Linked DNA regions of Caenorhabditis elegans. The protein of the gene in region 2 purifies or fractionates together with the protein of the main gene of each other region. This does not show direct contact. Each region holds a gene or a part of one and is shown on either strand. Other genes may lie near its edges.

Evidence for each region.
Region 1: the proteins of rskn-2 (region 2) and fbxb-87 fractionate together in Caenorhabditis elegans (co-fractionation; one large-scale study listed by BioGRID). This does not show direct contact.
Region 3: the proteins of rskn-2 (region 2) and T24C12.3 fractionate together in Caenorhabditis elegans (co-fractionation; one large-scale study listed by BioGRID). This does not show direct contact.

The regions. Positions count from the first base shown.
Region 1 is NC_003281.10:10,890,082-10,898,642, forward strand, and holds fbxb-87 (F-box domain-containing protein), read left to right. Parts: upstream 1-4,438; 5' UTR 4,439-4,607; coding exon 4,608-4,687; intron 4,688-4,750; coding exon 4,751-5,651; 3' UTR 5,652-5,653; intron 5,654-6,057; 3' UTR 6,058-6,175; downstream 6,176-8,561. Other genes in the region: athp-1 (PHD-type domain-containing protein), read left to right, coding at 41-249, 952-1,529, 2,410-2,843, 3,322-3,494; com-1 (DNA endonuclease activator Ctp1 C-terminal domain-containing protein), read left to right, coding at 6,347-6,400, 6,906-7,211, 7,942-8,281.
Region 2 is NC_003279.8:8,010,285-8,022,128, reverse strand, and holds rskn-2 (Ribosomal protein S6 kinase), read right to left. Parts: upstream 7,720-11,844; 5' UTR 7,662-7,719; coding exon 7,497-7,661; intron 7,227-7,496; coding exon 6,829-7,226; intron 6,449-6,828; coding exon 6,302-6,448; intron 6,258-6,301; coding exon 5,951-6,257; intron 5,846-5,950; coding exon 5,673-5,845; intron 5,549-5,672; coding exon 5,317-5,548; intron 5,258-5,316; coding exon 5,168-5,257; intron 4,996-5,167; coding exon 4,874-4,995; intron 4,346-4,873; coding exon 4,237-4,345; intron 3,991-4,236; coding exon 3,711-3,990; intron 3,660-3,710; coding exon 3,512-3,659; intron 3,209-3,511; coding exon 3,058-3,208; 3' UTR 2,549-3,057; downstream 1-2,548. Other genes in the region: C54G4.7 (AB hydrolase-1 domain-containing protein), read right to left, coding at 1-399, 770-948, 998-1,085, 1,154-1,275; dod-18 (Nucleotide PPase), read left to right, coding at 1,262-1,327, 1,375-1,509, 1,729-1,832, 1,876-2,028, 2,299-2,434. UniProt on the Caenorhabditis elegans protein: Serine/threonine kinase that may play a role in mediating the mitogen- and stress-induced effects on transcription. May repress transcription via phosphorylation of 'Ser-1' of histone H2A. May phosphorylate histone H3.
Region 3 is NC_003284.9:2,194,757-2,207,155, reverse strand, and holds T24C12.3 (Carbohydrate kinase PfkB domain-containing protein), read left to right. Parts: upstream 1-3,262; 5' UTR 3,263-3,316; coding exon 3,317-3,468; intron 3,469-3,515; coding exon 3,516-3,591; intron 3,592-3,865; coding exon 3,866-3,964; intron 3,965-4,008; coding exon 4,009-4,120; intron 4,121-4,250; coding exon 4,251-4,484; intron 4,485-4,536; coding exon 4,537-4,657; intron 4,658-4,740; coding exon 4,741-4,826; intron 4,827-4,872; coding exon 4,873-4,997; intron 4,998-5,163; coding exon 5,164-5,220; intron 5,221-6,002; coding exon of another isoform or gene 6,003-6,261; intron 6,262-6,310; coding exon of another isoform or gene 6,311-6,466; intron 6,467-6,519; coding exon of another isoform or gene 6,520-6,589; intron 6,590-6,636; coding exon of another isoform or gene 6,637-6,718; intron 6,719-7,270; coding exon of another isoform or gene 7,271-7,456; intron 7,457-7,521; coding exon of another isoform or gene 7,522-7,695; exon of another isoform or gene 7,696-7,716; intron 7,717-8,163; coding exon 8,164-8,243; intron 8,244-9,367; coding exon 9,368-9,449; intron 9,450-9,497; coding exon 9,498-9,626; intron 9,627-9,670; coding exon 9,671-9,785; and 6 more. Other genes in the region: T24C12.4 (ShKT domain-containing protein), read left to right, coding at 2,195-2,237, 2,291-2,471, 2,537-2,714, 2,763-2,915; T24C12.1 (Tetraspanin family protein), read right to left, coding at 6,003-6,261, 6,311-6,466, 6,520-6,589, 6,637-6,718, 7,271-7,456, 7,522-7,695; gap-1 (GTPase Activating Protein family), read right to left, coding at 11,770-11,817, 11,874-12,098, 12,146-12,251, 12,303-12,399.

The DNA.
Region 1 (8,561 bases), on a different chromosome or scaffold from region 2:
AAAATACTTTAAAAAATGAAAATAAAATGTAATATTTCAGAAAACATGCCGCCTCCAGCAGCCACTATTACGGAAAAATCGGATCCATTTGATTTTTCTTCACTTGAAATGCCCGAAATTCACGAAAAAGCCGAAACAGTATACGAGGCTGAAGGATATTACGGAGAATCCGATGATTTACCATTGGATTTACGTCGAACGAAAAGTGAATCCGATCTTGTCGATCGAATCATTTGGCCGTTGGTTCGGGTGAGAGTTTTCGAGCAAATTTTGATTGAAAATTCGGAATCTCCGTAATATTTTGGCTTGGGAACCGGAAAACTAGAAGTTTCTAGCTTGATTTTGGATTTCGCTGGTTTACGGTAGCTTGGGAAGTACGCAATCAGTGTGTTTCCGTTTTCTTCAGGCTACCGTAATCCAGGAATTTCTTATTTTGAGCTAGTGACTTTTAGTTTCTTTTTTTCGAAATAAAAATTAAAAAATTTGCGGTTAAAAATCGGAAAATCTGAAAAAATCGATAAAACTTTGTTGATTGGATTTATCAACAAAAAAATTTATTTTTTTTAAGGAAAAAAGTTTACAAAAATTGTTAAAAATTAGAGTTTTTTTCCCAACAAATTTCGGAAAAAATGTCAAAAAAAAAAAATAAAAAACATTTTTTGCAAATTGGGAAAATTCTAGATTTAAGTATTAAGAAAACGATTTTAAAGAGAAAAATATTTCCGATAAATCGAAAAAAAAAACACAAAAGTAATTTTAAAAAATCATTTTTTTTTAATTTCAAAAAATTGAGAACTCTTCGATTTTTTTTTTGTGAAAAAACCCAAGAAAAAAACCGATATAGTTTTTAAAAATATAATCTTTTTTCCCGAAAAAAACAATAATTTTTTCCGTTTTTTTTGTTGCAAAATCCAAAAAAAAATTCAAAAAAAAAACGGAAACAAATTCCAGAGCGCCCTTCAAAATTTCATACGCCGTGAGGATTGCCATCAAATGCACCTGGAGCACAATTATTCTTCTCTCTACCAAACTCACGACTCGGATGAGGAAAATCAACCGGTGGTGGAGGTGGAGAAACTGATTACCTATGAAGAATACCAAGAAAATCTTTATTCCGCAGAATTTGCATCTCCACAGACTCCACCGCCAATTCCACCACCTCCCGCCGTCTACTATGACAATTTCTCGGATGCTCCTCGAAAACGCGGTCGACCAGTTGGATCAAGAAATCGGAAGGAGGGAGACACCACAATTCCGAAGCAGCAGAGAAAACGGAATCCACAACCGGTTGGACGTGGCCGTGGCCGTGGTGGTGGACGGCCACGTGGTAGTCGATCTAGCAGAGGATCAATGGATGATGGAGGAGGATCAAGACGGCACTCGACAGCATCAGATGCTAACGAATCTGCGGAATTGTTGAACCAACCTGTGACGAAACAGCTGAGAGATGAGATTAAAGAAATAAAACTGAAATACACGAAAATGATGATGGATCGGGGTTTCGAGCAGGCGAAGGACGAGTATTTTAGGTTCGAATCCCGGAATTTCAGAATTTCCCGCAAAAAACTAGATGAATTTAGTTCAATTTTGCACTATTCCGGTTACTGTAGCCTCGAAAACTGATTATGGCCGAATTTTCCCATTTTCTAGGCCATGGCAGCATATTTTGGCCAATTTTAATATAGTGGCTGAGTTCTAGATTTTTCTAGGCCATGGCTGCAAAAACTTGGCCAAATTGAGCAGTGGCCGATGTTTTCAACTGGATTGCCTAGGCCACGGCCCACAGTTTTCGAAATGTTGTGTATTTTAAGTTCGAATTCCGAATTTTCAGAATTTCCGACAAATAAAAAAATTGATGAATTTAGCTCAATTTTGCACTATTCCGGTTACTGTAGCTTTGAAAATACGCAAACACTGATGATGGCCGAGTTTTCTCATTTTCTAGGCCATCCTAATTCAAAAAAAGTTTTAAAAAAATTGATGGCCCATGTTATATTTCTAGAAAGCAAATCCACTTTTTTTTTTTAATTTTGAGTCCTAGGCCATGTTTGTCAAAACTGCTCCAATTTCAAAAATTCAATAGTTGCCGAATTTTTCCATAAGGTTTTCTAGGCCACGATCAGAATTTTGTGAATGGTGGCCGGGGTTTTGAGTTTCCTTAAATTCCTTTTTAAAATTTTCAGTGGCTGAGGTTTTTCTAGGCCACGTTTTTTCTTTGTAATCCAGTAATTCCAGGGGCCGAGTTTTTCTTTTGCAGTTTCTAGGCCACGATAGTAACTTTGAAAGCACCTTTAATTAATTTTTTAAAACAGAAAAACAGTGAAAAATTAGCATTTATAATTTCTAGACCATGGCCGAGCTTTTTCCTTGATTTCTAGGCCATTTTTATTTATATTTATGAATTTTCAGAAATCGTGACGCAGCACTCAGCAAATGGACGCCTGAACAATGGAAAGAGCACAATGAGCAATGTGTGGCAGCCCGTCTCTCGTCTCTAATCCCATACGATCAACGATATTTCCTACCGACTCAACGGGTCCTGGCACGATTGGATCTCGAGGATGGCGATCTACGACTGCCGGCGGTGCATCTTCCAATTGCCATTCAAAGATGTGTCACAAAACTCGGCACCGCCCATGATTGCCACGTACGATGTGATAAATTGACGGGCGATGCGTGGTGCTCGGTGCTTGCAGATTATCATTGTGATATTGTTCGCGATTATTATTCGGATAATTTTTATATTTCGACACTCGGCACTGAAGCGGTTTTTGTGGATGGACGGGCGGTACGAAGACCGCGGCTGACACCGTTTGAGGCAGCTGAGAAATTGAGAACTCGAGGTATTGGAAATGCCAAGAAATGGGCGGGGATTGGAAACTCCGTCTACAAAATGGATAATAAAAAATTGAGGAGTGCGGAAAATGTGGAAATTTTAATTTTTTTTCCGAAAAATTCCAAAAACTCAATTTTTTTGGTGAAAAATACTAAAAAAATCTACAATTTTTAGGGTTTTTAAGGCATATTAAAATCAATTTTTTCTGAGAAAATTCTGAAAATCCGAATTTTTTGATTTTATTTGTTTTAATGCAAAAATATCTACAATTTCTAGGCTTTTTTTCCAAATTAAATTATTTTTCCTGATAAAATTCTGAAATTCCGAATTTTTTTGATTTTTTTTCAATTTTCCTTTAAAAAAATGCCAAAAAATCTACAATTTTTAGGTTTTTTTTCTGATAAAATTCTAAAAAATTACGAATTTTTGGGATATTCTTCATAAAAAGGATCCATTACTTATTGAAAAAAATTTAATTTTTGCAGGTTCCTCAACAATCATCCCTCCACATATCAAATGTCGATGCCAAAAACATTCTGATCTACAAATTTCGCGCCAAGAGAGCACCGGTGAACTCGTTCGCTGTGGAATCCTGAAACTGGAGCACGGAGCACGTATTCAAATTGGCTGTGTCGCGTTCATCTTCTCTAGGATCTAATTATGTGATCTCTTACCTCTTTTTTTCTGTCCGTGAATATCACGTATTTTGATTTTGAAATTTTTTTATGTGAAATCGTAAAATTTTAATGATTCTTTTGGGTGTTTTTTTTTTTGGAAAAAAAAGATTTTTCCGGCAAACGACACGTACAACAATTGCTGAAATTGAAAATTTCCGGCAAATTCGGCAAACCGGCAAGTTGCCGAACTGCAATTGCCACCCATCCCTGTTGTGGGTGACAATCATTTTCCAAAATTTGAAATTGAAATGTTCAAAAAAAAATTGAGCAACGCAGGTTCTACTCCTACAACAGTAGGTGTATGGAATAAAATACTCAGGCAACTCAAATCTAATATGAAAATATTAAATAGCAATATTTTTGTAGTAAATACGAGAAATAGTGCGTCCATATAATATTACTAAAAATTTCGAATAGATTTCGATTGTCTCAAAATATTACAATTTGATCTCAAAATATTGCGAAATATTCTCAAAAGATTGCTCAATCTAAAAAGATTTCGAATAAGTCTCGGAATATTGCGATTTTATCTTGAAATATCACCCAACTACAAAAATATTGCTATTTAATATTTTCATATAAGATTTGAGTTGCCTGAGTATTATCTAAAACTTTGGGAATATCATTATGAGTGGTGTTGCTCTCGCTCTAACAGGATAAAATATCATATTTCCCAGAGTTTTCAATTGGTGTCAGAGTGTCCCATTTCGGTTTGATCTACGAGAAGCGCTGACGTTACGGTTTTCTGTACAAAAATTTGTAGATCAAACCGTAATGGGACAGCCTGACACCACGTGAGTTTGTCCGGTTATGCCCTGCATTTTGCAAATGTTATGATATTTATAATTTTTATAAATAACATTTTTCAATTGTGGAAGACTGTTAGAGTTTCTTCTGCCAAATGTACCTCCAGAATTTTTTATTTAGATGTGGTTAATGTTCATATCTCTGACCCCATGCCTGCCTGTGTATTAGTTGGAGTGGTCAGGACCAGTGTACATCTATAACGTATGTAGTACCCATTATCTTTTTCCTAATCAATAACCTGTTGGTTCACCAAGTCATTCATTTTCTTATTCATTCTTCTTACAACCATGATGAGAGGTTTTCCAATTTTTCGATTACCGCATAAACCACTACGTTTATTGCTGAAAACTATGGAGGTGCAAGATTTGTGAGTGCATTTTTTTCCCAACTGGAAACATAAATATTCTTATAAGTAGAAACAAGTTTTCAGAGTGAGGATATCGTTTTATTCAAAAACTGCCAAACATGCTGTTGAATCGTTGAATATGAAGCTCATATATTTTTATATAACAATTTCTGGGACAATACAATTTGATATCTTCACTTATAATATGGAAGATCTCAATTTGAAATTGTCTGTGACACAATCTGAAGGAAGGAATTTGATTCGAGTGCACGGTGAAAAAGTAATGACAGGAATCAGTTTGCGGGAGTTTATAGATCAAATTCTTACAATATTCCATCAAGCAACTATTCATAAGCTATTTATTAAGCATATCGACTACGATTATCTAGAAGAATTCAATAATTTGAATATTCAACTTTTACACCTCGCGACTAGGAGCTCACTGAAACATTTTGCAAGACGATTCGATTTTCTAACTTTAGAGCAAATTACTTGGGAAACTCGAGATTTCCAGTCACTTGTGGGCCTCAACTTCAAACATTTAGAAACAAGAAGCACTTTTAAACTAGAAGACTTACTCGTTTCAAATACTTCTCAAATACTTATTCATGAACCATTGCCCCTAACAGATCTATGCATATTTCTAAAACATTGGATCAATGGATCAACTGAACGGCTGGAATTATTCCATATGCGTCTTCCTCAAAATTTTCAGAAGGAAGAATTTATTCAGAATGCCTTAAGTGGTATTAAATACAAAAAACTGGACGTCGACCAAAAACTGGAGTTCGAAGCAGCTGTGGATGTATGGAAGGACTCACACAGAGAGGTGAAAAACGAGGGATTTGGAATCCAAAGGAGCGATGGTACCTACGCAATTATTGTTGTGTGTGATGAGTTTGCAACTAACAAGTATTTGAAGATGTTTGTTTGGAAGCCGATTGATTCAAGTATCGGAGATCTCCTTAAAATTGCATCGTTTTAAATGTTAGTTTTGATTTTTTCTTTGTATTTTTGCGCTAAAATACGGTAAATCTTTTGTTTAATGCGAAGAGGTACGCACCTTTAATGAGTACTGTAATTTTAAACTTATTTTTTGCCGCGTGGTTTCCGTTGCTCGAGCCAAAAAAATGCCGAAGTTATTTATTAGAATTTATTCTTGATTTTAATCGATAAATATATATTATTTACCACAAACCATTTCGACTTTGATCAAAGCTTTGATTTAAATATATTTAATCTTAAATTTCCCGCTGCAAACGCGCTCGCTGACACGGCGCAGAGATAAGAGGGCGCCAGAGAAGTTTTGAGAGAAATCATTTTTTTGAATTTTATTTTCAATGTTTCCTGAATTTCAGCTCAATTAAAGCGGAAAATGTTTATTTTTGCAGAGTATCTACGTGGTCACAAGAGGAAACTTGTACAAAATTAATTTAAATGTTAAACATCTATTTTAAAATGATTTATTATTTATTTTTCTGTTGAATAAATTGAATAAACTTAAATCTTGAATTTAAATCGTGAAATTTAAATCGTTTTGTAATTCTGGTTGCCAATTTACCAGTTCATTTCTATTTTATTAACAATTTCCGCACAGATCATCAGTTTCCCTTCCAGGAATCCCAAAAAATGGACAGATATTACGGTAGCCACGTGGCAAATTCAAGTTTTGACTCATTTATGCAATCTGTGGATCCATTTGAGCCAACACCGAAACGAAGATCCACTGGAGAGGTAATTATGCGAAAAAATCCGGAAAAGCTCGAACTTCAGAGGTTTTTCCAGCTTTTCAAGGAGAATTCTTGAGAAATTGGAAAAAACATAGAAAAACTGGCAGAGTTTGCTCAAATTTTTGTATATAAATGACTGCCTTTGTCAATTTTTGCAGAATATTGTTGAAAATCGAACAATTTCATCAAAACATTGCTGAAAATACAGAAAACCTGAAAATTTCAATGTTTTTCGAGTTTTATGCAGAAAAATGCGATAATTTTCGCCTGAAACTCGTTTTTTTTCAAAAAATCTTTTAGAAAATTGAAGTTTTGAGTATGCTAAAACAATAAATCAATTTTTCCAAAAATTTGCGCGTCAAATATGGTGTATTAAGTACGCAATTAGAAGTTGTGCAAACACCACTAATATTACACCATATTTTACGCGCAAATGTGAATATTTTGTCTTAAAATTGCAGTTTTTGAAAAAAAAAAAGGTTTTTTTTTCAATTTTCTCAAAATTTCAGTCGGACAGCATCGCCCGAGCCATCAGAAATGCTTTGGATCCCGAGCTACAGTACCCCCAGCCATCAATCGATATTTTTGGACCGTCTACATCAAATTTTGGAAATTATGAAGAAAATGATGAATCAATTCTGGCAATAGTATCCTCAACACATTCTTCACAAGAATTGAGCACAACAACGGATAGGGAAAAACCGCCGAAAAAAGTGAAAAAAGAGAAGAAAATTGGAGAAAAATTCCCGATTTTCAACTCCAAACCGGCGCATCAGCCGATTATGGATGATTTTTTATCACCTGATGATATCGAGGTGATTAATGGGATTTTTTCTATAAAATCCCGGAATTTAAGATAAAAATCTAGAAAAAAAGTTTTCCATTGAAAATTAGAGTTTTGACTTATAAAAAAATCGCGACGAGACCCATTTGAACAAAATGCGTGCGCCTTTAAATTTAAACTCTGATTTTGAAAATTCATTAAAATTTGAATTTTAAAAATTTTTCGGAAAAAATTGCATCAAACTTTTGATATTCATTCATTTTTTCTTAAAATTGGTTGAAAAAACTCAAAAAATTCTTAATTTTTCAAATTTTCAAGTTTTCTGATTTAAAATTTTTCTTTACGTTAAAAAAATTAAAATAAACTATAAAAAATGCTTCAAATTCTTTGAAAAAAAAAATCAAAAAAAAGACCGATTTTTCTTGAAAAATCCAATTCCTAAAAACCTTCTTGCTACAAATTCTGCAAAAATTCAAAACTCACAGAATTTACAGAGAAAATAAAAGCTCAAAAAATTCGTATTTTTAGCAGAAATTCAAAGTTCTAAACAATTTTGCGCGTCAATAAAATTGGATTTGAAAAAAATTAACCTGAAACTTGTAAAAAAATTATTTAAAAAAAATTTTTTAAAAAATCGCTCAATTTTAATATTTTTTGTTGAAACAATATGGCTAAAATTTCTAATATTTAGAGCAAATTATCAAAACGGTCCAAATCTCATAAAAAGTTTCTGAAAAATTCCAAATTTTCTGTATTTCCAGCGCTACCGTAACCGTCCCCGGAAACCATACGTAAAACAAATTCGAATGGACGATTATCTATTCAAAGCCCGTCGAATTGATAAAGGATCACGAGAATTTGGATTACACACAACACACGAACCAAAACGTGGAAGCAAGAAAAAACGGGATTCGATTGAAAGTCTTGAAGTTGAAAATATTCAGAAACCATCGAAAAAGCACAATGAGCAACATCAAAAGAAGCCTGAGCAACTCGATTTCACACTGGCATTCACTACGCCGAGTCCGGCAAGAAATCGCCAAAAAACTTCGAAATTGACAAAGTTTTTCGAGAAAAATCCATCGAAAACTTCTAATCGAGGTGAATATTTATTTTCAATTGTTTTTTTGAAAATTAAAAATTCAAAAAAAATTATTTAAAAAAATCTGGAAATTATTGGAAATAATTTTTAGTTTTTTTCGAACATAAAAAAAACGTGTTTTTTGCTTAAATTAATTTAAAAAAAGATTCTCTAGAAAAGATTTCCGCTTTTTTTGAGATTTTCGAGAAATATCGAATATTTGAAAAAATTTCATTGAAATATACGGAAATGAGCTGGAAATTTAAAATTTTCTTTTTTTTTTTAAACGAAAATTCGAAA
Region 2 (11,844 bases):
TTATCAACATAGTGAGGATCTTCGAGCTGTTTCTGCAGTAAAGAATAATTAACAGCTGGAGAAATAGCTCCTTCCGTATATGATGGTGATGCTGTCGTCCATGCAAGAATAGGAACTATTGATATTGGACGTTGCGAATTTGATCCAGCAAGTTGAGCCATAAATCCACCCATCGAGACACCAGAAATTGCAAATGGACCATATCCAAGTGTCTCAGACCAATTGAAAAGATGATTACATTCTGCAATTAAAGCGGCACCCATCACAAAAAGATCCGTCACATTTTCAAGAGAAGAACGGAATTGATTCGGTGGTTTTCGATCTCCATAAAATGGATTTTGAATTAAAATAGATCCCACACCATCCTTAAGCATGTCATCAACAAGAAGATAGTGACGTCTGAAATAATAGTGATCTATGATACCAGTTTTGATTTTTTTGCATTTTTTCGAAATTTTTGTGGTCTCTGATAAGAATCATTATTCGATTTATGCATCTATGTAAGATGCGATACTTTTTATCTCAGTTTTTGAGTTTTTTTCTCTTTTTAGATTAAATATGTATTATTCAGACGCAAACTTTTTCGATCTTTGTGACAAAAATACGGTATCCGGTCTCGACACGATGAATTTTGTTAAATGCAAAAAGGTGTGCGCCTTTAAAGGAAACTGTAAGTTAAAAACTCTGCAGCGAGTTTTAAAGTACAAAAAAATTTGTCGTGCCGAGACCAGGTACCGTATTTTTTAAAATAAATTTTCAATTTTCTTACCTAAAATAAGAGTGATCTCCGGTGCCTGCCAAATGTATGCATACGGGGCCTGGTTTCTGAGGAAGATATGCTCTGAAATGTGCTCGACCGACGTTTCCTGGCATATGATTGGGAAAGAGAGTGGCATGAGGACTTGCGAAAAATCCCTCGTATGAAGTTACGCCATTTTTTGAATATTTCTGAGAATTATTTATTATTGAAAAATGTTTTTGAGAAATTAAAATTTACCTTCACAATGTCGATTTTGGGATTAAGTTCTTTCACATAATCCATCACAAGCCTCTTTGACATGACATCTCTGCGATATTTTGCCATTCTAAAATAATAATAACAATAATTAATTATCTATTAGTTTCTCAATTTCTCAATTAAAACAAAACGTACTGTTTAATTACATCCGGATGTCCCCAACTTTTTGTGAATAATTGACTGAGCACAAGAGCCGATCGAAATTTCAGATCCACGTGTTTCGCCCACGACGGCAAGTTCGGAATGAAAGAAGCCATTATTGTATTGGCAAGTCAGTCACCAAATCGACTCAAATTGTTGCAGCAAATTGTGAGAAAATGAGAATCTACAAAAAGAAAGATTTATTTCGGTTTCAGGGATTGGAAAATGTAATCGTAAAAGTTTCAAATTTCGAGGAAAATCTACCAAAAACATTGCCAGTTAAGCAGTTTGTCATTGAAACAGCTAAAGGAAAATTGACGACTATTGTGGAAGAAATGAAAAGAAAAGAGGTATAGTTATTTTTTCAGTAACTTGAGAATATAGTTATTAGTTGAAAAACAAATCGGAATTCAACAAAAAAAATACGGCAACATTTCTCGACGCGACCTAAAACTTTTTGCGCAAAATTTCAGAGTGCTGCAGCATATCGAGACCTGCTACCATATTTTTAAAATCTAAAATTGAAATTATAAAAACTGAGATATTATATTAATATATGAATTATTAAGGAGCCGTACTCTGTTATTATTGCGTGTGATACAGTAATCGAATTCAATGGAGAAATTATTGGAAAACCAACAGATGCCAATGACGCTAAAGAAACTTTGAAAAGGTAATTAAATTTTCAACATCATAATTGTATAAATTAATTTCAGACTTCGTAACAATACTCATAATGTATATACTGGAATGGCTCTACACTATCATGAAACTGATCAATATGAAGAGATCATCGAGAAAACAATTGTTCATTTTGGAGATATTCCTGATAGAGTTATCGACGAATATGTAAAAAGCGGAGAGCCATTGTTAGTTTTTTTTAGCAAAAAAAAGTTATGGAAATATTTATTGATTGAAAGTTATCAAAATTTTTGGAATTGAATTTCTTATCTAAAGTCATAAAAATGAAAGAAAAATTGGCGGTCAAGAAATTTTGAACATTTTATGAGTATTTGAAAGAGCTGCAAAACTTGAGGGATTTTTAAAATTTTCATCACGTTTTTCATCATTTTCATCACGACATTTGAAAACTCCAATAAAAAAACACGAATAACTGACCTAGTAAATCGAAATTTCAGGAAAAAAGCAGGTTCATATGGAATCGGTGACTTTGGCGCTGTCTTCGTTCGTGGAATCGAAGGATGTATGCCGAATGTGGTTGGTTTGCCACTTCACCGTCTTCACCAAGCTCTTATCGCTAAAAATATTCTCTAAAATGCTTTCACTTCCATATTTTATTTTCTCACATTACATCAGGTTTTCACGTTGATGCTTCAATCGATATTATGATTCGGAGCTTTCAAACCTTCTCCAAAATAAATATGTAAAACGAATTACTTAATTTTATTAATCTTTCAAAAAGTCGATTGGCAAGTCAATCATGCTCATCGCAAAACATGGAAGAATTTCTGGAAATGGTTCAAGAGTTCAGGGAGTCACTGGAGACAATGAAAAGATTACATGGGGATAGGTGGATGAATAAAGATATGTGTATCTAACAAAATGATTATAAAAAATTAGAAATTTACATGAGACTAGATATAATAACATAAAATGAAATGCACGAATCACAATATTTTTCAAAATTGGTAGAGGATTGACTAGAAATGCGAAATATCTAACAAATGACAATCACTACAGGTTCAATGAACATTTCAGCAACTGTACTCATAGAGAAGGCAATGCCACAAGTGTCAGGTGACGGAAAATTTGTAAAATAGTGAGAATAATGAGAGAGTACAGACTAGAAAGCATCTAGGACGAAAGAATCACAACGCAAACAGTGAGAGAAACAGGAACAGAAAGGAAGAAAAATTAAAAGAAACAAAGAAAAAGGTCTAGGAGGAGTCTGAGCCACGAGTTTCTCGGATTGTTCCAGAATTTGGTTCTCGATAGTTCATCATTCCCAAATTGCTTGGACGGGATGTTGATGATGTCATCTCTGCTTCTTGTTCTTCCGGAAGACACTCGAATTGGGTAACTCGCGAACTGGAAAATGACATAAATTGTTGAAAATGAAAGTATATTTTCAGAAACGAAAATGTTCACAATGCGATCAAAATTAGAAGTATCATATTTTTTTAGAAAATAATTATTATTAATAATTTCATAAATATAATATTTGAATAGACGTTCTAAATAGTATAAAATAAGGAATTTACAATTATTTGCAAACTTAAAAACTAAAAAATAAAATTTTAGAGAAATGTCGTCAAATGTGGTGTTTCTTGTGCACTTTGAAACCGTACCCCAAATTGGAGGAGTTTCAAATATTAGGGTTCTTGAACTCACTTTTTCGAGTTTCCAGAAGCATCCTTGTCCCCAGATTGTCTTTTGATTCCGCGTCGTTTCATGAGAGGAGCAGCAGCAACATCGAGAAGATGGAATCCATCACGATTAGCGTGGAGGAATGCGCGCAGTGTCTCATTGAATGTTTCATCTGAAAAGTCAAAAGATTAGGTTATTCAATTTTCAATAACATCAGTTTAACTACCTGCTGATGATGGCAGAATACTAGGAGTTTGAAGTGGTGTATCCATTGAAGCCGAAGACTTGAGCCACATATGAGCTGTAAGCTCTTGCATTGAAAGACGTTTCTTTGGATCCACAGTAAGAAGACCGGTTATTAAATTCTTAGCATCTGCTGACACGTTTGTCCATGCGTCTCCTGTGAATGAGAATTCTGCTCTACAAATTCTCTGCATTATTTCAGTTGCCGATTCTTGACGAGAACGTGCATGGAATGGAACTTGACCCGATAGCATTGTGAACTGAAAAATTTATTCGTAGAAAATGTGCCACACAATTTAAAATATTTCTTATGAATTTCTAATAACCAGGGTTCTCAATGCGTCCAAAAAATTTTTCACGATGTGGTACTGTAGTTGCATGCTTCCATTTCGTGATTTTTATCGATTATCAATCGTTTCTTAAATTTGAGGGGTCTTTTTGTTTTTTCTCAAAATTTTTACTTCGATTTTTGAAACATTAAATTATTACAAAATTATACAACTAACCAGTACAACTCCAAGTGACCATAAATCACATTGTTCGTTGTATTCTGGTTGAGAATCTCCAACATCTAAAACTTCTGGAGCAGCATACTGTAGTGTGAAGCAGGGGGTCCTGTAATTATGATTGAAGAATTTCATAGTGAGAGTTAGGCAAATATATAGAAGCTATTAGTGAAAACAAACGTTATTCAAAGATGAATTGGGCATTCTCTAACTCTCAAGTTTACAGAAAATTTGAGAAACTTAATGTGAGTGTTTGTGAATTGTTAGTAAACAGCTTTGTCTTGAAAATCAAGTGAGAGTCAGAGAATGAGTGTGTTTCTTCAAAAATCTCTGAAATCAAGAAAGAAACCCTTAGTAGAGATAAGTGAAAAGAAAGGTTTAAAAGGATAGAAAAAGAAGATAATCTGTAACAAGAATGCACGAAACATCACACACCACCGTCTTCCTCTCTACCAAAAGTAACTTTTTTCGAACATTTGTTCTTTTAAATTTTCAGCTTGAGACACATGCTCCCAGTTAAGAAAAAAAAACAAAAATATGCCCAATAATGAGTGAAAAAAGACAAAACACAATAACTTTTGACTAGACTAAATGTTACTCCGAGTGGAGTGAATGATTGTGTGCGATGAGACCGTACATCTTGCGCAGAACTTGAACAGACTTCAGTTGTTGTTCCATTGAATTTGGAAGTAGACGTGCAAATCCAAAATCGACTAGACGAAGGCGGGCACTTGAATCGATACTTTCAAATAGAATATTCTGGAATAAGAATAACTGTGCCCGTTTTTTTAAAAATTGCGTCATAATTTTCTAACTACTCGAGTATACTCCACCTTTAATTATTAATTTGTTTCACTTTTTGGAAGTATTTTATTCTTATGTTTTGTATTATTTTGCAGCCACTTAACATAATCTGATCATTGAAACTCACCTCTGGTTTCAAATCTCGATGAACAATTCTTTTATCATGAAGATATTTCACAGCTGATACCAACTGCCGCATGATGTCTGCTGCTTCACTCTAAAAATTTAATTTTCAGAGTAACTCCGAATTAAAGAAATGCTTAAAAGAATTCTAACCTCTGTAAATCGTTCCAATTTTCGAATTCTCTCGAGCAGCTCATTTCCAGTCAGAATCTCCATGACGAGATAAAAATGAAGAGGATCCGAATGTACATCATGAAGTTGAACAATATTCGGATGTCCTTGAACCATTTCAAGAATTCGTGCTTCACGTTGAGCCTGACTTGCGAACTTTTGTGATACGATTTTGACTGCAAACTGGGCTCCGTCAACTACGCGTTCGCATCGTCTGAATTTGTATATTTTATCTTTAAAACTATGTAAAAATAACGTTTTGTTGAACTTTTTCGAGATTTTCGAATCTAGAAAATAGTTCCAGCACATGAAATGTTGATGAAAATATAAAAATTTACCTGACCACCGAAAAAGCTCCTTTTCCTAAAAGACCAGCGTCCGACTTGTCTAGTTTGTACTTGGCAAAAAATGAAGAACTCGCGAGAAGTGCATTGACATCTTCAGCCATTAGTTCTTCACCGATAACATTGTCATTGGCAAATATAACAGATGGGGAGACATATGAGTATCCCTGTAATCACATAATTTCTTCTGGAAATTTATTTTTGTCAAACATATTTCGGAATTCGGCTCAAAATCCGGCAATCGGTGCCTGCCAAGTTAAGAAAAAACTCACTCTAAACAGAGTATTAGCATTTAATGGTGACTCTGCAGGAGAATATAATGGTGGCTGAGAAGTGAATTCAGCTGAGAAGAACTGTGTATCCAAATCATGTCCAATTCTTGGAACAATCACTGGCTTCAATGTACGCTTAACAGCTGCATCCCAGTCAATACTTGACATAAATTTATGATTTTTAATTTCATCAACTCCATTGTATCCGAGACGTTTTTCAAGTTTCTTTTCCAACAATTGGCCGATGAAATCGCGAGCATCAACATCCATAGTTTTTGGGAAAGGGACCTTCTTTGTCATAATTCGTCTAAAACTCGAAGAAATTATAAAGAAAATGAGGAAATGATTTACTTGGCAATATCTTTACTAGAGTTTTGTGCTCCATCTACAGTAAATGGTGAGCATCCAGTGAGCAATTCAAATGAAATTACACCCAAAGACCACCAATCGACAACATCACTGTATCCTCCTTCAGGGCGATTGATTACTTCTGGCGACCTGGAATCATTAAACTTGAGAATTTATTTCTTATCTATTCAGAAATTACTTTTACACAGCCGTCTGTGCCAATTTTCGTTTGTAAAGAATTATATGAAAATCTCAATGAAAAAATTCAATAGCTCAATAATCAAATATCAATGATCAATAATTTTCAACAAAAAATGATACCTTTTAATATACAACCAAAAAGTAGCAATTACCCAGTTTTTGTTAATCCTAATTTTGGAACTACATCAAAAACTACGAATTGTATATTCTAATCATGTTTAAATTATTGACATGCAAATAATTCTGAGGTTTGATAAGTTCTTTTTTTTTTTAATTCCAAATACGTTTGGCAGTGTGCCTAAACTTTGGCTGGAAATTTCAAAACTCACATATATTCAATAGTTCCACAATATGAATTGGCTCTATCCAACTCTCCGGGTAGAAACAATTTACTTAATCCAAAATCTGTCAACTTAACGTGTCCTTCTTCGTCCAATAAAATATTCTCAAGCTTCAAATCTCGATAAATAACTTTTCTTTGATGAAGACTATCAATTGCAACCACAAGTTCAGCAATTACAAATCTAGCAGCTTCTAAATCAAAATGACCTCTCGAGCAAAGATGTGTGAATAATTCTCCTCCTCTCACATATTCCATTACAATGTGCAATTTGGTATCAGTTTGGAAAGCATAGAACAAATTGACAAGAAATGGTGTTCCACGTAGACGTTCAAGTACTTGACGCTCTGCCATTGTGTGCTCCAGGGTTTTTTGTTTTGTGAGCACCTGCAATCAAATTTGTTTTTTTTTCGTTTCATATTAAAATACTAATCTATAAACTTTATTTCACCTCACTTTCCCATCTCTCAAAAATTTTTCAATCCAGTTATTTGTTTCGAAAAGTTCAAAACCATTTCAAGAATATGAATTCCGGCAATTGTCGGTTTTTTCGCTCTTGGCGAGAGATGAAAAAACAAATAATAATACAAAGGTTCAGCACCGTATAAATGAGAAATTATTATTTTTAAATTCATTTCTTTTCCAAAAATAACTCACTCTGGTCTTTCTCAACACTTTCATAGCATATATAGTATTATGATCCTTTCCACCAACTTTTCGCACAAGGAATACTTTTCCATATGCTCCTTTTCCAAGAACTCTGAGGAGAGCAAAGTTCTCCATGGAAACTTTCTCTCCTTCAGGCATCAATATATCTTCCATTTTTTCTATATATGTATGCCTTCTGCCTATTTTTTGTGTTCTTCGGGTTTAATCACCTGAAAAATAAAAATTGCACGAAATGAGGTTTTGCAAATATGCACGTAGGCATAACAAGGTTATAAGTGAAATCGACTGAGCAGAAGAGAATAGAGTGAAAACAAAATATTGAAAAAACAAACTCAATTTTTGCAGATCTAATAATTTACATATTAGTTTTCAAAACTAAATCTAGTAGTTGTTTAATTTTCCAAAAAAAAAGTAATTTTGCATTCTTCTGAAATTCGAACTTAAAGGAGCTTGTCAAAATATTTTCAATCTTTAAAAGATTAATCTAAATAAATCCATGAAAACTTCGAAATTATGACAATATTTTCAAATTTATTCATGTTTAGAGGATGACTCACAAATTGGCTAACTATAAGAGTTCTAATAACTGAGTATCAAGAGAATGATGACAAATAATAGAATTTCACAAGACAAAGTCATTAGGAAGATCTTGAGTTTTAAGTTTTGAGATCTTAGGCTTTAATAAAAGAAATCAGAAGATTATACAAAATTTGGAATGAAGACTGCGAAAAAAAGAGACATGGAAAAACAGAAATTATCACATGAATCTTGCAGAAAAGGAAATGAAAACGAGAAATCCATTACCGCTTGGAAGGTTGAGAACAAGAAGGAGAGGAAGAAAAAGAAGAAGCACAGCACAAAAAAGAGGACAACATAGCAAACAGAATAAAAAACAAAATGAAAAGTCTTCTAGAGAAAGAAAGATTTGTTGACCAACTCTATTCACCTCCGATCATTTTCAGAAATCCCCTTTCCCTTTTCTCTCCATCCAACAATATTCTGAAAACTTGAAGAAGTTGTGAGCTCAGGCTTTCCTGCCAAGAGAGCACAAGTGGTGTGGTGTCATGAGCCATAAGCAAGAAGAAGGAAGATGAAGAAGGAAAGAGAAAGAGACAACGATGCAAAAGTGAAAATATGCCATGTGTTTTGCGTGTGTGCTTCGTTTTTTCTTCCTTTCTTTTGTTGCATTTGCTGCCGTGGCTCCGGTGAGCAAGAGCAGAATCAAATGGAACACAAGAACACAACAAGCAGAAGTTAGAGGAATGAGAAGAGTGAGAAGTAAGAGAAATGGAAGATATAAACAGGAAATATCAAAACAACACTTCTACTGCTTCTAGGTACCTAGATTTGGGGAATTCGTCTAACGAAGAGAAAACTAACCAAGCTAATCAACAAAATATTAACGAGAGGAATGATGGGGCCTGTATAAATTTAGTTTCTAGCGATAAATATTAAGAATAAATATCTTGAAGCTTTTAAAATAACCTAAATTAATCACTTCTGCTTTTAAAGAAACTCAAATCAATTAGAAATAAACATTTTGCAAAAAAACCAGTGATACACTAAACATCAAACGAAATATGAAAGAAAAGTTCACTGGCCAGAAATTAAAACTAGGAATTTCAAATCTTAATACTTGAAACTGAAAAGCTCAAAATGAAAACAAGTTCATTAGTTGTTTTCATCGGAATTTTTTCAGAAAAGTAATACATTTATCTTTTAATGTTTTGTATTTTTCAAAATATTTTCGAATCTATTTTAAAATATTCACCAAAATTAGTTTTATTTTTTAAAAGGGTGTAATGGTTCCGCCCACATCTTGGTTGTTTTGCCGTTTTGCACCCACGATGGAAAAGTGAATAGAAAAAATTCTTCATACTATTTTTTAGAGTTAAAATCAAGTTTGCATTCGACTTGTGTTTTTGCTAGTCAATGAAAATTCTGCATCTGACAGCATAATTTAAAAGTTTTCTAGAGTTCACACACAAATCATATTTAAAAATATTTGATTACTTTCCGAACCCCAGGAGCAAAAGTTATAGGAACATTTATGAAAAACGTTGGACACAGCTTGTCACAATAATTGTTTTTTTTGCTATAACTATAATTATCATCACGAAAAAAGAGTAAAAGACCACAGAGAACACAAAGTTGGTCACAAAAGTAAAATGACCTCAAATGAAAAATGCAGATGGGCGAGAAAGGGTCGAATTTACATTTGCATGTGTATTTGGACTGCCAACTTAAAGTTTATGCATTCTACGTAATCAAGTTTCAGAAATTAATGGGATTATGATTAGAAAATGACATTTGCAATTATAGAGATCAATTTAATATGAATGAATTAACTGAAAGTGCAAAAATTCTGCAAAAACTAGAGTGAAATTAGTAATTCATCTGGAAGGAAAAAAACGATAGTTATTTTGTTGAAATTAGATTTTAGGATGAAAAATAAATTTTTTGTTCAAATGAGAGATGAAGAATTGATCCAAACGTGTTGCTGAAAATAGAACATTTAAAATTTGTCGAACCTGATATTTAGGGTGTGCGGAAAATCTACAAAATTGCTGATTTCTCTGCAATAAGCAAACTTATGAAAGCAAAAGCAATTTGAAAAATTCGAAAACTCTCTGGAAATAATCCTAAATTTTGTTTGAAATAGAGCCCAACTACCGAAACTTGCCAAAACTTTGACCCATTTTTTCAGCAGTGACTAACTTTCAGTCTTTAGATACTTTTAAAAAAATTCAATCAAAACAAGAATTGTGTTCAAATTGACTAAATATTATTCTACATTATATTAATTTTTTATCTAAAACAACCATATCGAAAAGAGAACATTTGCCGTACAACCCTCTTTTTGAAGAGACACTATCAAAGATCAGAGACCATTTTAGATAACACTAATTAAGTTCAAACGGAATTTTACATGGGAAAGAATCACAAATATTTTATAAGAATCAAAAAAAAAAGAACATTTTTAATAATTTTTTGATATAGCCTATGCAATGTGTTGTTTGTGTGTGTGTGGTGTGTGTCGTCGTCGGTTTTTCCCCGCTTCAATGGCATTGAAGAGAGAAACGAAAAGAAAAAGAATAGTGAGAGATTAATGGTTTATAGTAGAGACTCAGACACATTTTTTGGAGAAATGAAATATAAAGATTAGAGAAATGAGTGAAAAAGCAGGATCAGTAATTACGATTGAGCACAAAAAAGGATTTTGAAAAATCAAGTGTTTGGGAAATGTGATTATTATGGCAGAACAAGAACAAAATAATAATAATATTATTCATGAATTATAGACCAAGGTCACAACAAATCATGAATCATACAAGTTCCTACAAGCTTCTGATTTTGGAAAATATATGCCCGCAAACTAGAAAACTACTATTTGAAAATTTGTATCTATCAAAAAAAAAGAAAAAGAAAAATACACAATTAATTTTGAAAAGGGACAAAAATTCCGATTCAAAAATAGCGAACCTATTGCAAAAATTTCTGATTGAATTTAAAAAAAAATTAGCAGTTTGAAGGGAAAAACAAGAAAATAGCTGCATGAATACGTCATGCAACAAATCTCATGAAAATCGGAGCAAATGAAATTAACAAAACCGAGGATGATCTCAATCCTAAGTCAGTTAATACGTTCGTGTTTTTTTTTAGATTCTTGAACCGCATTATTTAATTTTAATTTCACGTTACTGATTTTTATGCAAATAAAATATGAACACAATACAACACAAGGTTCACATGAGTTAAAAGTTCGGGCGCGAGTTGGGCGAGTGAAGAGGCGAGGAGAAGCGCCCCCAGTCTCGGCGTATCAAAACGACTCACAATATCTTTTTAAAAAACAAACAAATTCCTTAATTACATAATGTAAAGTTTTGAGAGTTCAAATTTCCTAGCTCTCCAAAAATCTCCAGAAAAAGTAATTTCAAAAAGTGAATGATTGTAAAAGTACATTTCTGGAACAAAAGGCTTGATGAGAAAGGTGGCCAAACATAGCACATCGTCATCATTTTTCTTCGTCTCATCAACACTTGACGACCAAATGGGCGCCCTTTGGCAACAGGTTTCATCTTTTTTCAACACACCGTTCTTTTTATCTATATTTCTCTCTCCCCCCCCTCTCTCTCTCTCTCTTTCTCGCACATTTTTGTAAATTTAGAAAAGAGAGAGAGAAAATGTCATTTGACAAACACAAAGTTTACCCAGCGCTCTGGTTATATAAAATAGTTGTCTTTTCGTCTAGGCACACTAGAAAATAATCGGAAGAGGGAAAAACGTTTCAATCGTTTGTTTAACACTTCTATACACAGATCACTCAGTGGGAATG
Region 3 (12,399 bases), on a different chromosome or scaffold from region 2:
TACTCATTTTTTGTGTTTTGTTGGCGATTTTATCAAGGTTAACAACTCAATTATTTAAGGTAGGTTTTAGTATGCGTTACTGGCTCCTAAAAAATGTTGCATTTAGTAATCAATTTTTGAGAAAAATGATCGACTTGGAGTCCCAATTAGAGAGAGAGAAAATATAGCAGACCAAATAAAATTTGAGAAACATGGAAAGTTGTGGAAGAAATTTTAATATACTGGTGTGCAACCTTTCCAGTAGCTGCTGTGCAGTTTTCCAAAAATTCCTCTATTTTCTATTATTATTGTACAGTTCGAATAACTAGTCTGATTTCTGAATATATAAAAGTTGTCCTAAATCGAAATGTTCTTTGAACTCCCCCCTATCACAAACATGGTTTCCAAAATCTTTGATTCGCCGGAAGAGAGCAACTCTCTCTTAATGCACAACACAAAAAGTTGTTGCACAACACGCTGCACATGCTTCCCCGTGTCTAACAACGGCGGTAAAGCCTTCCTCTATGAGTCAATGATATGCTTTTGCCGCGCGGCAAGCTGTGTGGCCACCGGCAACGTCAAACAACCTCTGAAGACGATATGAGTGTAAAAGTGGCGAGAGTGTAAGAGCACACGCCAAATTATGTTTGTGCATTCTTTTTTGTTGTGTTGTAGAGTGATGATGAAAACGAAAAAAGATGAAGAATGAGGAATAAGCGTTGCTTAACGGAATGTTTGAGTATGCTGACCATTTGATTTTAGAGATAAAAGACGGGAAAATGCGGTAGCAAATGTGAATGAGCATGTTGCTCAGTGATCTTCAGGAATGACAAAGTAAAATCTAAGCTTGGCATTTAAAGAATACATATCATCAATTTATAGTCAAATGGTTGCTGAAACATGAAAAGAAACATTGGAAAAAATTAGCTTTTCTTTTTTTTAACGTGATTTTCAAGTAAAAAAATTGTTGAAGTTCCTTTTTTTCAAAAATTTTTTCTTATACATATATACTTTCGATAAGCGTAGAAATATATATAAAGTTAAAATAAAAAAGCAAAATATTCGAATACCCGCGTAAAATAATTTTAGGGTACAAATCAAGTTTACCTTTTTGGTGGCAAATTTTTCAGTGTCAATTTTTGAGCACCTAACCTACGATTTACCCGATTGGCTCTTTTTCTTTAAGAAAAACAAACCACAAAAATATAAATAACTTAAAAACAGTCACATTCAAAGGAACTACTTAAAATCGAAAAACCATGCAATTTTGCACTTTAAAATTTGATTTTTCAAAAATTCTTTGTTAAAAACCAAAAAAATAAGGTCGAAGGAAAATGGGATCAAAAAACGCTTCAGTTCAATTGACGAAATTGACAAAAACCATTCCACTTTTTTGAATGGTTTAGGCTCTTCAAAGAGGCAAATGGTGAAAACTATGTGTAAAACAGAAATTTCAAATTTTTAGGAGAAACAATTTGTTTAATGAATGAAGTTATTTCATTGTTGGAAGCATGAGTTTCTGATAATTAGCGTCAGTGGGGATCTTTTCCAAATGCACCAATAATGATATAAAATAACCATATTAAAACACTCCAAAAGTTTTTAGATTAAAAAAAAACTTCCAGTCAGTCAAAGAAGTTTTGGCTAGTTGCCAAATTTTGGAAAACCTTTTAAGAAAATCCAGAGCAATGTCGCAAGAGTCTACCCTTATAATGTTTTAAATCAACTAAATAGAATACAATTAAAGTATAAAAGTCGTCGAAAAAATAAATTTTTTTTGACCTGCTTCCAAAATTATGAGAGGCAAAAACTCAGTAATTGCAACTTTTTGAGAGTGAATAAAATTTCCAAAAATTTTTTTGGAAAGATTTACTATGATAGTATGCCAACTTCAATATACCCCACACTTCTTTCCGCGATATTAATCACAGACACGTGTCACCTACGTGTAATCACCGATGATCATCCAGTAGTGCATATGCCAATCACGTCAGAGTTGACGGTCTCTCATGCTCCCATAATGCTTAGCTCGATTCATTTTTCCGTGCCTTCCGGTCATCGTTTACATTGTGTTGTTGCTGCACACTGCTCAACGCCTTGGGGCGGCGCGAAAATGCGGGAGGTGCAGAACCGGAATGATTGGCACTGTATTATAAAAGTACGAGCAATGTTCCGTCGACTTGGGACATTCTCAATTACACCACAATTGAGCGTCATGTGGAAGTACGCGGTTGTCTTTTCTGCTATTTTTCTCATCCGTGAGTAGGCTTTTTCATTTCTAATTCATTTTATTGTTTTTTTTTAATTTTAGATATTGTGGATGCTGGCTTCCAAATTTCACAGCTCAAACCATTGTACAAAGAGGATAATATTACTATCAGTGAGCTTTCCACAGCACTTGGAGCAGCCTTTCCACCATGTTGCTCCGATATCATTTCGAGCATTGCCTGTAGAAGACTTCAACAGCACAATCCTTCGAAGTTCCTAGACAGGTTGGTTTTTTTTTAAACTTCATTAATTGTTTCAAATGCTCTCTGAAATTAAATATGAAGTTCAGATGCGCTACTGACGCTGATTTCTCTTTGATCCAATGTTGTAACACTTGTGGAATGGAAAGCGCTGCCGATAGATACGAGCTCATTTTCCAAGCCGGCCACAAATCCAACCAATGTTTCGACCGCCATGGATCAGAGTTCTGCAAGCGATTTTTGAAGAAGGAGGATGTTTGGGGAAAGGTAGGTGACGCTTTTCTAAATGTTTTCTAGACCACTTTTTTTTTGCAGTCTCAATGGTCTTGCGACGGATCGACTGCACATTTGGCGTTCCGCATTTGCAGAAAAACTTGCAACTTTTGCCGCAGAGATATTTATCGCACACCGCTCGGTCGATTTGAGCCAGTGTCTTGTGGAAAACCACCAGTTCTCATTCCGAACTAAATGTCACACTGGAAACGTAATTTATTCATTCTTATTTTTTAATATTTCTTACTCATTTATTTATTTATCTATTCAATACTTACTAATCTGTTGTAATATATTTTCCTAATTTCATGACGAAAATTAACGAGATCTCGATCGAACCTTTTTAAAATTCCAATTTATTTATTTTAATGATTAATAAAATCTTCACAAAAAAAAAGCTTGGACTTTGAAATTCGTAAAAATGACAATCTTATCAAATGATGGACACTTTTGAGATAGTAAAAAACAGAGTGTAGAGGGCAATCTTATCTCTTCTCTCCATCTTTTTCCATATCGATCTTGTTCGATAACCAGAAAAAGTAGTGTTGTAGATAGTGCGAGCCCCATTCTAGGTCTATTACTCTCTATTTCTCACTATGTGTTCTCGATTTTTTGGCCAAAAACGTTCGTTTTCCAAATTTCTTCAAATTTCTCCACAAGTTAAGGAGGCTCTAGCTAGCGGAGAAGGAGTTGTCGCGCTGGAGAGTACAGTGATCACACATGGACTTCCTTACCCTCATAATTTAAGGTAGTGAATTGCAAATGCATTTGAAACTATTAAAAAATTATTTGCAGTACTGCAAGAAGTTTGGAGCAAAAAGTTCGATCATCAGGAAGTCATCCAGCTACGATTGCGTTATTTGATGGAAAAGTAGGTTTTTTCGCTAGAACTTGTTTCTGAAAATTTAAATTATTAAATGATACTTTTATTGCTGCCACGTTCGTTTTTCTAGCAGACTGCGACATTTTATACCAATATTTTCATATAAAACAATAATATTTTTTTATTCAAAAACTGCCAAAATTAGTGTTTCATCAACTAAAAATTCTTAGGAATTTTTGTGAAAACTTAAACGCTATAAAATTAAAAATCATTTTTTGAAAATTTTAAATAGTGTATACCTAAACATTTTCATTTTATTCAGATTCATGTTGGATTGGATGATGAAAAACTGGAACTTCTTGCTTCAAGTCAGAATGCAGTCAAAGTTTCCTCCAGGGATATCGCAAAGACACTGATTAAAGTAAGTTTGATCTACTATGATAAATTTTTCAATGTTGATTTCAGAAAGAAGTTGGAGGAACTACAGTAGCTTCAACTATGAAGATAGCACACGCAGCTGGGATCAGTGTATTTGCAACAGGTGGCATTGGTGGAGTACATCGTGGTGCAGATCAGAGTGAGTTGTTTCATGTGTTTGGTGTTTTTTTTTTGACCCGTGAAGTTTTAGGAAAATTGTTGAATTTGGACAATTTTTTTTACCATTTATTCAAGTTCTTTTTTTTCCGAACAGCAAAAAAATTTTCCAGCATTCGATGTTTCGGCTGATCTTCAAGAACTTTCGCAAACTCCCGTGTGTGTGGTGTGCTCTGGAGTCAAAAGCATTTTAGACATACCCAAAACTGTCGAATATCTTGAAACTCATTCCGTGAACTGCATAGTTTATGGGCAAGAAAATGTGTTTCCAAGCTTTTTCACTAGAACATCAGATAGAAAAGCTCAATTCTGCACTGAATCATTGGAAGAAGTTGTTCACCTGTTAAGTGAGTTGATGAAAAATATTGGTTCATGAAGTAAAGTCATGAAGTGTTTCAGAAACCTCGAAATCTCTCGGATTACCTTATGGAACTATTCTGGCTTGTCCTATTCCTGAAAAATATGCAGCTGATGGAGATGCGATCCAGAAAGCAATTGACCAAGCTGTTCAAGAAGCCATGTAAGTTAAAATTTAAATATGTTGCACTTTTTAAAAATATTTTTTGAAAAGTTCCCTGTTTTGCTTCAAAACTTTACTTTCAGTGAACAAAACATCGCTTCACAAAGTGTCACCCCATTCATTCTTGCAAGAGTGAACGAGCTCACACAAGGAGCTTCAATGGCTACAAGTATGCGTTTTGAACAATTTTTCCGCTGTTAATTGTCATTTTACAGACATTGCACTTCTCGAGAATAATGCGTCAATTGCTGGAAGACTAGCCGCAAAGCTCTGCGATAGACGTCCACTTACAATTTCACAGAGCCAACCAACTGCATCAACGACTCGAAAACCAAAAGTGGTGAGTCAAACCTACAATAAAGTTTTTTTTATTCACTTGCGAAATGTGGTATTGTTCTCATAAAAGTTTGAAACAACACAAGCTGTCTTAGCAAACAACCAACGCCTACTAGTTTCAATGACATTTATTTGTCAAACGTATCAAACAGATCACGACTGTTTTTCAGGTTTCTATCGGAGCAACTATCGTTGACTTTGAAGCCATCACGAGTGAAGATGTAAAGGTGAGAATGAAACAAAGAACAATTGAAAATGAGCAACAACAAAAAAAATCAGAAAAAAACATTTGGGGAATGGAGTATACCAAAAAAAAAAAAACCAAAAAAAACATGACAATTTAGAAAAGAAAAACTTTTGAAAAACACGTAAAAAATTATGATGAAAGAAACTTAGAGATTTGAGTGGTTTGCGGATTTTAAAGTGATTGAGCCGTGGAAAGTTGTCTGAAGGGGACCTAACGGTTCAGACATGGCACAGAAAAGTAGACACAAGTGAAACCGCCATAAAAAATTATTGAAAAAATTTTGAAAAGTTTCATTACGAAATTCGTTTATTTGAGTTCATTTTATTCGAAATTTGCATTATTAGATCAAAATTGCCCAAACCGTTTAAACTCATTTAAAAACAAAGTTAGAGAAAAATAATATACACTAGGTGAAACACTCTCGACAATTTGCTGCAACTCATCCACCAACTGCTGCAACTTTAGCAATGCCAAGCGAAGAAGTTGCTAAATTTGGGAAAAAGGTTGGATAAAATTGATCAAAGTAGGTAAACTTAGTAGAAAGTGCTTGGCCAAAGTTGTAGATATGTTTCTATAGTTCGTAGAAACGTTGCAAAAGTTGGTGTATAAGTTGTGACAAATTGCCGAACTAGTAAGATTCATCAAAATATTATTTTACCAACAACATCTCTTATACCAACATCACACCCTTGCAAACACTTTCACAAAAACCCCTGAACTGTCGGAATGAAAAAAGGAGAAACTGAACTGAACCCCCAAAAATTAAAACTGTTCAGTAACAGCAGCCGCCTCAAGTTGTCGTGCATTATGAGCAGCAATCGCTTGTTGTAGCTCTTCCCGAATTTCATCCCCACGGACCGTAAATTCGTTCTCCACCTCCTCGATTACAGAGTGCTTCAAGAAAGGTGAATATCCTGGGAAACTTTTAACGCGGCTGATTCCTGATGTTTGGGTTGACGTGCTGTCAGCCAAGTTGATATTGCTCTTGAAGCTCTCGATGTAACCATCTCCATGGCGGTCACTGAAATATAATTGTTGATTATTAATGCTCCTCAAGTCATAGTTATTACTATTCATTAATCATCTGAGAGTAGTATTCAAGTTCCGCCATTTCTGTTTCAACTTTCTCGATATCTTTTCGAAGAGCTGCGATCATGAACAACTTCAGCGGCGTGATCACACAAAAAGCAAGACATCCGACTATTTCTGTATTGGAATGGAGCCATCTGCAAGATTTTTTTGTTCATATAATTTCAGTTTTTCCTGAAAGATATGTTACCTCTTGAGATGAATATAGCAGTCATTGGAATGTCCAGTTGGGCAAAACGATTTTGTAACGTTTAGAAAATCTGAAATACAGAATTTTATGAGGGGAACAACTGTAGAAACTAGATACCTGCACATGTTTGTAACACTTCTTCGGGTGGGCAGCAAATCAAAGTCTGATAGACGTTATCCCAGACAGAGCATAGTTCTTTCTGAAAATTAATAACACGTGTTAAAAAATTACACAATTTATCAAAATTTTGCATGGTGATATTGAAAAATCTGAAAATGTTTTCAGTGTTCTAGTATAATTTTCAGCATTTTTGGACTATAATAAATGTAATTAAAGTTGATCATAATTGCAACCGAATGTATTCAAACTTTTTGAAACAATTTAGCAATAAGAACTGCGCCGGGAGCGGAAAAGTCATGAGATCCCAAATTCCACGTATATGTGCTAAAATGTGTAATCAAGACCATCTGATTTTTTTTGGTCAGAGTGATAGACTAATAATTTGGTAGGCTGAACTAGGCTGAAAACAATGCTGCATAGGTTTTTTGTCAGTGCGAGTTTTCAAATCATTAAAAAGGAGGTCTTGTAGAAATTGGACACACTGTATCAATAATTAGTATTCCTCAATGAGTTTAATAACTCCTATTTTTCCACGTTTTGTTCTGCACAAACTGTACTGGTTTAACTTTAAAAAATCAACCTAACTGTATACTTGGTTTTTCTCCCGGATTTCAAAATCTTGAATACTTACACTGCTATTGTGAAGTACTTGAATGTGGGAATATAGCGAGGTGTGAGCTGTGGACATGATGCTTGCAAAAACGAAAACCATGACAGCATCCACAATAAGTGTACAGCACTTTATCCAATGACAAAAAACGACAACGCCAATTTGTCTTTTCCGAATTGCAACAATTGATGCGATACACAAAAGTGCCTGAAAACAATGGTTTTTGATGATACATAGTGAAACTATTAAGTTCGGAGCTTTGCACTACTCACCAAACAAATATTGATGAAGCAGTATCCAAGAACATATGGATCATTCTTTTTGATAGGAATCAGCACGAATAATGGGCTTGTGAGCATGACAATCGTGGCGCCAAGAAAGAGAAAAACGGCAAGCAGGAGTATCATATTGCTCCCATAAAGCCATGCCGCTTTACCAAACCGCATGCTGAAAACTTGTTATAATTATGGCAAAGTGATTCTGAAAATCAATGATGAAGGTACAAAAAACAGGAACGGGGAAAGATTTTTGAAAAGAAAGACGAACAGGAAAACACACACCTCGCACATGTTTGTTTCTTCTTTCTCTCTCTCTCTACGAGGATTGATTGTGAGAGAAACAGTGCTGATGGCTCGTCTGTATGATTGATGAAAAGTGGGAGGCCAAGACAAAAAAAGAGAAAGAACAAAATAAAATAAATGAAAACTGTGTGGCAGAAGCTTCCGGCACACTGCCAATCGGAGAGCAAGCTTTCTGATTCATTGCTATTTGAACAAAGTATCAATGCGCTACTGTCACACATTTAAGTGATCGCTTCAAAGCACATAATGTTTTTTTTTCTAAAGAATTGAGATTGAGAATTTGATATTGAACTCCAATATATATAATATCCGGTAACACTTAAATGATTTCAGGATGATGGCGGCTCATACAACGGACAAGTGGTACAGCGAATGGGAGGAGTAGCAAGGAATCACGCGGATGCATTAGCAAGGTCAGAAATACTCGTAAATTAGAATGTCATCGCTTGTGCGTCGCGCTAAAAGACGCACCACCACTTTCACTTTTGGCACACAGTTTTCATACATTCACAAGAAATCGAAATGATATGTTTTTCTTCCTGACCATTTTTGTTTTGAATTGAAGAAAAAAAATTGCTAAGAATTTGTAGCGTGGTCAAAGTACAGTGCATATTGGGATAAATAATTGGAATGATGTGAAAATGTAGTGTTCAAATGAGGGGTGGGTAATTGCCGTTCGGCAAATCGGCAAACTTGCCGGAATTGCTCAACTCCGGCAATTTGCTAATTTGCCGTTTGCCGGTATCAGTTTGCCGGAAATTTCTAAAAGGATTTTCGATAAGGCGAAAACACTGAACCGTGCCATTATGAAATGTTTTCCTGTTTTTGAATTATATTCACATATAAATTGCTTACTTTCAAAATAGATGTAGGGTGATCCGTAGGATGCGTACAATTTTGCGGTTCAAAATTTAAATGTGTATAGAGTTAAAGAAAAAATGTGTAAAACCTTAATTTGCCGATAATTTTTGGCCATTGCCGTTTTCTGGCAAATTCGCCGATTTGCCGAATTTGGCAAAAATTTGAAAAACAGCAATCCACCCCCGGTATACTAAACCAAATACAGAAATACAAAATGTCATAAAACTAATCAAGTCCATTTGCATTTATGGACTTGTGGCTTTCATTTTTTGTTCAAACCAAAAGCACAAGCGAGACCTTTTAACTTCTCATCACATCAAGATAGTACAATGTCACTGTAAACTTCAAAGATGACCGACAACACAATACCACCAAACCTGATGCTCAAACGAAAGTAAATGTTGCCGAGGTATTTGTGTGGATCGCAAAAGAGCGAAAAAGTAATTTGAACTCGGTCTCTTTGGAATTCGATTTTTTTCTGCTCTTATTTTGACAAACATCCCAAGATCGTTGTTCAGTTTTGTAATTGTTTTGTGTACGATCAATTGTTTGATTGACTTTTGTCTGATAGTTTTGCACTTCAATTGAACTTTAACTGTATTGCAGGCTTGAGCCACGGCGCGCAAAGTGCTTGATTTGAAAATAGCTTTATCTTAAAATATATTTTTTATTTCAGGCTTGGATGTGATTCAGTTTTCATTTCTGCTATTGGCGATGACAACAACGGACATTTCTTCAGACAGAACAGTCATAAAATTGTAGGAAATTTTTTTGTTGTTTCTCATGGAAATTTTCGTGTCGTTTAGGATATTAATCGAGTAAAGATTATAAGCAACAAACCAACTTGCACTTATTTAGCAGTCAACGTGAAAGGAAACGTGAAATATGGAATTGTTACTTGTGAGCCACTTCTGAGTGTCATTACTCCGTCATTGGTGGGTATAATAGGATACGAGGCAAAAAATAGTTGTTTTTTCAGGTTGAAAGCAATGAAGATGCATTGGAATCATCAGATTTCATTCTTCTTGATTCAAATCTATCAGTTCCAGTTATGGCCAGAGTTTTAGAAATTGCAAAGAAACATGATAAACAAGGTATGGTGACTTACATAGAATTAACAAAAACAGACAAAAATATACAAGGCTTCAGTTTGGCTCGAGCCCACGGACATTGACAAAGTGAAAAAGGTGTTCGACACAGGCTTGGTTGGAGCTGTAACTGCCGCATCGCCAAATGCCAATGAGTTTCTGAAATGGGCTAAACTCTGTCACGTCTCCGTAGATCCGTCGGTCATTGATACAGCCGATGGTGTGCTGGAACTTATAGAAAAGGAGAAAACTAAGCTGCTACTCAATACTTCCATTTTTATTGTGACATTGGCGAATAAGGGATCGGCAGTGGTATATAGGTAGGGTATTTTGCATTTTCTACAAATTGCCAAGCTTGAATTTTAAAACGCAACTATTACTGTTGTGCTGAATAGGGCTTCCTTGCAGACGCGAAACACCTGCCGTGCCCGCCTCGCTAAATGAACAATTTTCCAAAAATTGCCTGAAAAGGTTTTTTGAAAAAAGATATTTGACCATTCCATTCTAAGTGTTCTAAACTAATATGTATAAAATTTATTTTCAGAAATAAACTTGGCCAACTTGAATTCCAATCGCTCCCACCTCCACTTCAAATGAACAAAGTCGTATCGGTTTCCGGTGCCGGTGATAGTTTCAACAGTGGAGTAATTGCTGGATTGGCTCATAACAAAACAGTCGTCGAATCTCTCCAAATTGGACAAGAATGTGCTCGTCTAACTCTTCAAACGTCTCTGGCAATTTCTGATGCGATAACCCCGAATTTATTAGCGTAGACGGGGATGGCGTTATTGTTTTTATTCTGTATTGTTTTTTAGACAATCTATATTCTTCAAATAAATGTTTCTAAAACCCATTTCAAAAAATAATGACGGTTCATATAATTTTGCAGAGAAAGAAATGAATTGAACAACAAGCATATGATTGTGAGATCGGTACATTGAAACAAAATATAACAGGTTTGAGGGGGTATGGCATAAGTCTGGCCTGGACAAAATACTATGATAAGTGAAGTATGACAGTTACCATTAGGTGGGGTTTTGTTAAAGGGAATTTTTGGCTTGTATTATAACACTTTGGTCAGAATAGGGAAAAACGGTTTGAATCACAAGAGCTTTAAGATCGATTTGATATGCGCACCGGCTACTACGGGGATGGTAAGGGCATTATTATGTCATACACAAAACATTTGTAGCCTTTCTAGGTATGCATTGTATAGTGCCAGTCGATATTCTATTTGCTTTTGGTTTTGCGGTGGTTTTTTTGAATTGTTCAAACATGTGTATCTCAAATGATAGAAGATTTAACAAAATATCGTTTTTTTTTAAACAAACTTTTGTCAGTTTTACTACATTTCTGAATTTGTCAAAATCATACATATAACTATGTTCCGGAAAAAAGAAACAGAGCTGGCATCCTGGAGGCATGTTTTTACAAAACAAAGTAAAATACGAAAATTATCTTCATAAAATTATCTACTTCTTGCAAATTTCTATTTTCTCACAAAATGACCAAGAAAAATTATAAAAAAAAATAAACAGGAAGTTCAAATTTTGTATTTCTAATTAACCTATTCAGAAATCAGTTTTCTTCACACTGTGACAAAACGGCATTTTGCAAAATGTAGAAAATTTAAAGGAGGTTATTTTCCTATTAAACTTTGTTTTATGAAATTGCCAAGTGTCTGTCAATTAGCTACTCTAGACAAAAATAACCGACCCGTCGGATGTCACCTGCTTGAACTTTTTCGGAATAGAATTATATCATTTTTACAAAATTAATGATGTAGAAAAAGCAATTCGAAATATTTTTTCAGTTAAAAATATTTTCCTAGCTATTATAGTATTGGAGTAATACGTGTTTTTTCAACTTGGGTAAATCACCAAAAAACCAAATTCAAAGATAATATTGACCGGCACTGTAGGTAACATTATGAGTTGTGAATTTTGGAATTATGCCTTATTATTGTTGATATCATCAATATATGATACAGTCACTTATAACTGCATTCCGCCGGAGCTTCTTCAATTTTCACTTGACACTGAAAGATTTTTGACGTTTTTTTGCTGTTATAATTGCATCTATTCTTCTACTCACTTTGTTCTCCTTCTCGTACTCCGTATGTGCTAACTGAATGGCATCCGTGACGTCGATCGTGGAACAGAGGGTCGCAATAAGTGAGTCTTTATGCGATTGTCGCTCTTCTTCAACGACATAGCTGGCTTTTAGCAGTTCCGGCGCCGTTTTCTCGTCCAACTCGACGTTTGATTGCAGTTGGTCCCTCCATTCAATCATTGTCTCGCGGTATTTGTATAGCAGAGTCTGAATATAATATTAATAGTCTTGAAAAAATAAGTGAGAAATGTTACATGAATTTTATCCACGTGTCTTTCAGCGTCAACGAAGAAGTGCTCTCCAGGCGTTTCTGCAATTTCGTGTGCAGCACGATTTCGCTGCCTCTCGATTGCATTCAGCCTGAAATTGAAATTGAATCAATTTTAAAAAAAGTGAATCTCATTAAATTACCAGTCAGTTGCTTCTACACCTCCGGGAGCTTCAAATTGCAGCTGCATAGTCTCACAGACAATCGTTATGATGTTTTTGTTGTCAACATTCACAAACT